2 linked regions of the Daphnia pulex genome follow. Each later gene encodes a partner of the first gene's protein in a complex. Links are inferred from orthologs where the notes say so. Each region holds a gene or a part of one and is shown in the gene's direction. Other genes may lie near its edges.

The links. The genes of interacting proteins can lie anywhere in the genome.
Region 2: RNA polymerase-associated protein LEO1-like (region 1) and RNA polymerase-associated protein CTR9 homolog share a complex: the UniProt entries of both Caenorhabditis elegans proteins name them as parts of the PAF1 complex. The link is inferred for Daphnia pulex from reciprocal best matches to the Caenorhabditis elegans genes leo-1 and ctr-9.

What each region holds. Positions count from the first base shown.
Region 1 is NC_060024.1:10,088,199-10,092,593, reverse strand, and holds RNA polymerase-associated protein LEO1-like, read left to right. Parts: upstream 1-1,462; 5' UTR 1,463-1,568; coding exon 1,569-1,614; intron 1,615-1,674; coding exon 1,675-1,809; intron 1,810-1,865; coding exon 1,866-2,091; intron 2,092-2,159; coding exon 2,160-2,796; intron 2,797-2,868; coding exon 2,869-3,084; intron 3,085-3,174; coding exon 3,175-3,370; intron 3,371-3,445; coding exon 3,446-3,639; 3' UTR 3,640-3,765; downstream 3,766-4,395. UniProt on the Caenorhabditis elegans protein: Component of the PAF1 complex which is a multifunctional complex involved in transcription initiation via genetic interactions with TATA-binding proteins, elongation and transcription-coupled histone modification.
Region 2 is NC_060027.1:4,806,213-4,808,841, reverse strand, and holds the end of RNA polymerase-associated protein CTR9 homolog, read left to right. Parts: coding exon 1-126; intron 127-198; coding exon 199-651; intron 652-711; coding exon 712-954; intron 955-1,020; coding exon 1,021-1,379; intron 1,380-1,468; coding exon 1,469-1,964; 3' UTR 1,965-2,038; downstream 2,039-2,629. UniProt on the Caenorhabditis elegans protein: Component of the PAF1 complex which is a multifunctional complex involved in transcription initiation via genetic interactions with TATA-binding proteins, elongation and transcription-coupled histone modification.

The sequences.
Region 1 (4,395 bases):
AAACCGCGGATGGACTGTTAGAGGAAGATGGAAGGGGGGGAGGAAATGTAAATAAATAAGGTGGAAGGGAGAGGAGAAAAGTTGATTGAGTTTTCGACGCCACCGCCGTAGATATACACGGTACATATAGATTTTTAACTCCACCCCATGTGTTATTTTAGGTCGGAGATGGAAAAGAAGAAAGACAAGGGTCACAGACGTGACAAGCTGGAGGGAGTCCCTGTGTATGCAACAATGACTGGCCTCGGGCCATCAACTTCTTCCTCGGGCATATTTCCGCCGTTCTCCGTTTACTTCTTACACACGCCTCGATTATTTACTCATTTCCCGGTGGTGGGATGACTTCTTCTTCTCTGTTTCAACTTGGTCTTCTTCACCACCACTCCTGGTGTGCCCCCAAAATGTCCCCGTGTCGTGATCCACTGAAACTTCCATTAAATCAAATTCTCCTCCTCTCCGTGGTTTAAAGTTTAGGAAAAAGAAAACCTAGGAGGGAAAATATATCTCATTTCCATAACTAGACGAAGCAAAACCTGATTAGAAGAAAAAACACATGCATTTCCAATCGATTTCGTTCGAAAACAACAATCATTAAGGTCCAGGCTTTCACCTGCTACTGGGAACAATAACAAATGACCCTTTCTCCAAATATACTTGATTTTATACCTCTAGATTTTGGAGACAAAAAGGAAAGGAGAGCTCTCCTTTTCCCCAATGAGACGACGACGACAAAAGGGAATCTATCGACGTTTGAGAAACTGTTGAAAACGTTTTCAACTCGATGGGCCACGAGCGAAACCGGTCCGGGTGACCTTCTCCATGACAGAAAAAACCCCAAACGGTTGTGTGTGTGTTGTTTCTCTTTTTGCTGATGGGTTTTTATTATTTTCTGCTGAGACAGGGGGGGGGGGCCGATACACGACACTCTCAAGTTGTTTGTGTGACAACAGCACTCGTGCTTCTTCCTTTTGACAACGAAATTTCTGATGATTCACACACTCTCAACTTTGGTCAAGATGAAACACACAAGAAAAACGGACGATTTGTCGCACTGCTTCCACAAAACTTGGAAATGTCTAAGACAACGAGGAGGACTGCTGATGTTTTGGCCAGGATCGTTGTTCTCTTAGGCCGAAGGAACACGACGACGACGACGATGCTCTTTTGCGCAGGTCTTATCTCGAAATAAAGTTTGCTTAACAACGAGGGCAGTGCACGCACTCACAAGATTTCGGGCTGCACACTCCCGATGTTTTCTTGTAACGAACTCCTCACCATCATCAAGACGACTGACTCGAGAACGGGCGGTCTCAGGCTCTCAGCTCAGGTCTTGAGGAGGAGGAGGGGGGTTTGAGCGTTGCCATCGGAGTGGGAGCCAAATTTATTTAATTGGCGTTCAGGGACGTACGAGACATCTAGCGGTTGCATTTTGAACTTTTATTTTTCGCTCACTTGAGTCGCCACCGTAGGCTTTCTAACAGACGAAGCTTTGAAATTCGGTGTGTGTTGTTTGCTTGATTTCATTCCGATTTCCTTTATTAAAAAAGAAGAAGAAAGTTTTGTCCATAATGGCGCCCTATAAAGACCAAGAATCTGAAAATTCTGGATCTGAAGGTACGAAAGGTTTGTGACTCAAAGTTGACATTTTCTTAACTCCGTTGTGTATTCTTGCAGATGATAAGTCCTCAGGTAGCGATTCCGACAGCAGCGGATCAGGGAGCAAGTCAGAAGCAGGTTCTGTACGTAGCCGACAATCAGCAGCTTCCAGATCAGGCAGTTCTTCTAGGTCTGCTCAAAGCCCAGATCAAGGTAAACAATTGTCTCAAAATTCATTTGACATTTAACATTACCCTCTATTGTTACAGCCAGGAGTAGAAGCGCCAGTGCTGAAAGTAGATCAGGAAGTGAAGTGAATGGTGATGGAGATTTGGTGCTGGATGAGAGAAAGAGTAGAAGTCGTAGTCAAAGCGGAAGTAGGAGCAGGAGTTCATCTAGCTCCAGCTCAGCAAGATCAGCCAGCCATCATTCTGATGAAGAAAAGGATGGCAAAGACACAGCTCAGTCATCCCCATCACATGAAGAGACTAAAAAGTAAATCTAATTTCCCCAAATTTCACATCAACCAACCTTTAATTCAACTTCAATTTTAATTCAACTAGGAAAATCAAGCGCATCATAGACAGCGATGCTGATTCGGCTTCAGATTCAGATGCCGGGGGTAAAAGTAGCAAAATGGCGAGCCCTACTGCCGAAGCCCTTTTCGGTGAAAATGTCGACATGTCATCTGAGGATGACGACGACGACGATGGCAACAAACCCACCCAAAAACTACCCGAGAAAGCCGCCAGTGAAGCTGATAGAGACAGCATTCCTGATCGTCGATCGCCCGATGAAATGGAACAGGATGATGAATTCGGAGGCCGTGATAACGAAAAGGAAAAGGAACCAGAAGAGCCCGTTCCAGAGACGAGAATTGAGCATGAGCTGCCATACATCCGGGCTGACGTAGGCAGTGAGTTCCACTTTGTCAAGCTGCCCAATTTCTTGTCGGTTGAGCCGCGACCTTATGACCCCGAAACCTACGAAGACGAGCTGGAAGAAGAGGAGACCCTCGACGAAGAAGGTCGAGCCCGCCTCAAACTCAAAGTTGAAAACACAATCAGATGGCGAACGGCTTTTGATAAAGAGGGAAACGCCTTCAAGCAAAGTAATGCCCGGATGGTTAAATGGTCAGACGGCTCACTTTCCCTCCATCTTGGCTCTGAAATTTTCGATGTTTACCGACAACCCCTGCAGGTAAATTATAATTATCCAATTCTTTCTCAACGAGATGCCTATTAACAATCCTCATTTGTCTGGTCTATTTAGGGAGATTACAATCATTTGTTCATTCGGCAAGGTACTGGTCTACAGGGCCAGGCTGTCTTCCGCACCAAGTTGACTTTCCGACCTCACTCCACCGATTCATTCACCCATCGAAAGATGACCAAGTCTCTTGCCGAGCGTTCCACCAAGACGTCTTCTATTAAGATCATTGGGGTTTTCGGTGCGGATCCTGAGGCCAACCGCGGAGAGAAGATCAAGGTAATACTACTAATATTACACTACTACTTGTTATTTTGTTGATGAAAAATATTAACCGTGCCGTCAAATGGTTGACCGGTTTGCTTGCAGAAAGAGGAGGAACGGTTGAGAGCTTCAGTGAGACGCGAGTCGAAACAAAAACGCGTCCGTGAACGAACAGCTACCGGCCGTGGCATGAGTGGTGGTTACTTGGAGCCCGATCGCGAAGGCTACGAAGACTCTGAAGATGAAGGTGGAATCTCTCTGACAGCGATTAAAAATAAGTACAAACGGGGAGGACCTCGAGGTAAACGTTTCTGTACTTTTATTTTATGTTCCTCGCTAATTGTTATAATGAACTCCGTGTTTGCTCGGTTATTAGATGCATCACATCAAAGACCACCCATCTATTCTTCTGAAGAAGATGCTTCAGACATAGAAGACCGTAAAGCGAAGAAACTGGAACGTGCCAAAGCACTGCCGGATGAAGATGATAACGACGATGATGATGAGGCAGGTGGCAGTGGAAGTAAGGTGAGAGTAGTATCCAGCAGCAGCGAAGAGGACAGCGATTAAATATAGAAATAATTACAATTGGTTTGTTGTGTATTTTTTTTTTTCAATTTGTTTCTTTCATTTGATCGTTGCCCAATTTGGGGCTGGACCTATGTGCGGAAGGGCGGAATACATTCGTTTTCACAATTTTGAAATAATAATTTTTTCTGGTCAACAAATCGTTCGTTAGGTATGATATATGGCGAAGCTGAGAAGATGAAACGAAGATGGGGAGTGGTCAAAGCTTTGAATTGTATAAGACAATGTCGAATTAGTAGCATAAAACACTGAGAAGCGATACTGTCACGTAATTGGCTGTACATAAAATTGCACTTAGTATTAAATGGAGTATCATTAATTTGTAGAGGGAAAAGAGTTCTGGTCAACGAGTTAGATTAGTGTTACAAGGCTTTCGTAATGTACAGAAGAAGAAGAAGGAATCAAGGACCGCATTTCAGGAAGACGGACATCATCATGTCACAGTCACTGTCGGTGCCTGCCTAGAAGCTGCGTCTTCAATAGGAACGGCCGTGTCATAACCTCCTTTGCTCTGCATGTGATTTTGCAAGGCTACTAAATGCCTTGAACCCATGGCTACGTCACTTGAGCCTATATGAGCAGTATGTTGAAAATTTTGTGGCAAACCGATCATGGAACGATCAATTGGTGGTCTTCGTCTCCGCTTTAAATTTAAATAATTAACATTAAAATGAAATTTTAATATAAAAAAAGAATGTGCCAAGCAGAATTTCACTTACTGGAGGAGGTTGTTGAGTC
Region 2 (2,629 bases), on another chromosome or scaffold:
CGCGCACTTACACTGTACAAGACAGTTCTGAAGAACGACCATCGTAATATTTGGGCTGCGAATGGTATCGGTTGTGTGCTAGCTCACAAAGGCTGTATTCCTGAAGCACGTGATATCTTTGCATCAGTAAGTGAATTCTTGTGATTCCCCCTCGTTTATTTCACGTAATCGGAACAATTTTTTTTTTTTTTTTTTTAGGTTCGTGAAGCTACTGCCGATTTTTCTGATGTGTGGTTGAACATCGCTCATATCTATGTCGAGCAAAAGCAGTATGTTTCGGCCATTCAGATGTACGAAAACTGCATCCGCAAATTTTTTCGACATCCGCATGTTGAAATTCTTCAGTACTTGTCACGCGCACACTTTCGTGCCGGTAAACTCCGCGAAGCAAAACTATCCCTACTTAAAGCCCAGCACGTCGCTCCACACGATACGGTTCTCCTGTTTAACACGGCTCTCGTGCTGCAACGACTGGCAACCCAAATTCTCAAGGATGAGAAATCGGATCTGCAAACGGTGTTACAGGCTGTCAGTGAACTCCAGCTATCGCACAAATTCTTCCAGTGGCTTTCTGTCAATGGCGATCGCATGCGCTATGATTTGGCTTTTGCTGCTGCTGAAGCGAGACATTGTGGAGATCTTCTCTCTCAGGTAAATCGATCTTTTATCGTGTTAATTAAGCGTAGTTGTAAACTAAATTATTTTCCAAAGGCTCAATATCATGTGGCACGCGCTCGCAGTCTTGCAGAGGAAGAGAAGCGCATGAGGAAGAAACAGGAAGAAGAGAGAGAGGCGTTCCGTACGAAGCAGCGCGAGGAACAGCATAGACTTGAAGAAAGTCGTAGACAAGAGCAAGAGAAGCTACTCAAGTTGCGCGAAGAGTTCATTGAAAAAACGAAGAAAGCGACTCAATTTAACGAGATGCCATCAGAAAAAGCCGAAAAGGGCAAGAAGGTACTAAGACTTGATTATTCTAAATAGAGAAAACGTTTATAAATCTTCCCTTTTGTAATATTTTAGAGTCGCAAGAAGAAGGATGACGAAGATGGATTCGTTACGGACGGTAGTGATCGCATTCAAAGTGGCGATGAGGGTGCTGGTCCGCCATCAAAGAAACGTAAGGCAGAACGGAAACCGCGCCAGACTGAGACAAAGTCACGGAAGAAAGGAAAAAGCGGCGAAGAACGGGGACGAACGAAAGAGAAGAAAGGTCGAAGTGAAGGCAGAGGAGCCAAGAAGGGAAGTGGGAAAAAGTCATCTAACGATGTCGACGATGGGCTTAGTTCAAAGCAGAAAAGCAAAGTTGTATCTAAAGCCATTATTTCCTCCTCGGATGATGATTCGTCGGAAGAAGGTGGTAAACTGCGCATCGCTAGCGGGTGAGTAACATTTGAATTTCTAATAAAATCGATAGCTCCTAATAAGCAGAAGAATTTATTTCACCGACTACAATTACTTTTGTTTTCAGTGGAGAGGAAAGTGGTGGTGAAGGAGCTGGAACTAGCCGACGAAGGAGAATTGCTTCCGGATCAGAAAAGAGCTTCAGCGGTCGGTCTGTCTCTCGTTCTCCAGCAAAATCGCGATCTCCGTCGGGGTCTCGATCTGGTTCGGGTTCTCGTTCGGGATCAGGATCTCGTTCACGTTCACGTTCCTCTGGACGATCGAATTCAAGATCTAAATCGCGATCCAAATCCGGATCCAAATCGCGTTCGCGTTCAAATTCCCGATCGAAATCTAGGTCCAAATCCCGTTCCAAATCACGATCCAAATCACGATCCAAATCCCGCTCTAAATCCCGCTCTAAATCCCGCTCTGTCAGTCGATCATCCCGTTCTTCGCGTTCTTCTCGGTCGTCACGTTCCAGGTCAAAATCGAAATCCGGTTCACGTTCGCGGTCAACATCTCGCTCGAAATCTGGATCTCGTTCAAAAACACCAAAATCTGGCTCTGATGATTCGGATTGAAAACCTTTGTTCATGTAACACTAAAACCTTGAGAAATTCGACAAATAAACCTCTCCCTTTCTTTCGCAGTTTAATTACGAAACCGTTAAATTTTTTAAGGGTTTATTTAGATTTTTCAAATGCAAAATTCATCAACTGTCGTACGACACTGATTGAATGACAAATACAGTACAGAAAGAAAAATTAATAGTAAGTATAACGCGCCAAATATTCTGAAATTTAAAAATAAGTTATGCCGAACTTCCCGTATCATCATAAGGGAATGAATAATCAATATTGCACTCTGATACTCATTCAGCTTATCCAATATCCACCTTTCTTTTTTCATACACGAATAATTTAAATGTTTTGATTTTTAGCCTATTAGCGTCTCAGCAATCAAATTAAAAATTATTAGATTGAAATCTACATTTAAAAAATAAAATAGCTTGTCCAAGGATTTGAACCACTGACGAGGAACCTCGATGGGCTATTTCGTAAACTCCTCGAGGAAATTGAAATAATAGAAAATTATTAACATGAAAACTAGAAAATATTTTAGTATTTTAGATTAGAAATGATGAAAATTTTTCAATCATGCAAAATGATGAATTCGAAGACAAGCTCATGCTCCTTCGGAGCGTTGAGAGACTTAACTCTTGGCTGAGAGACTGGCTCCCGCTTCA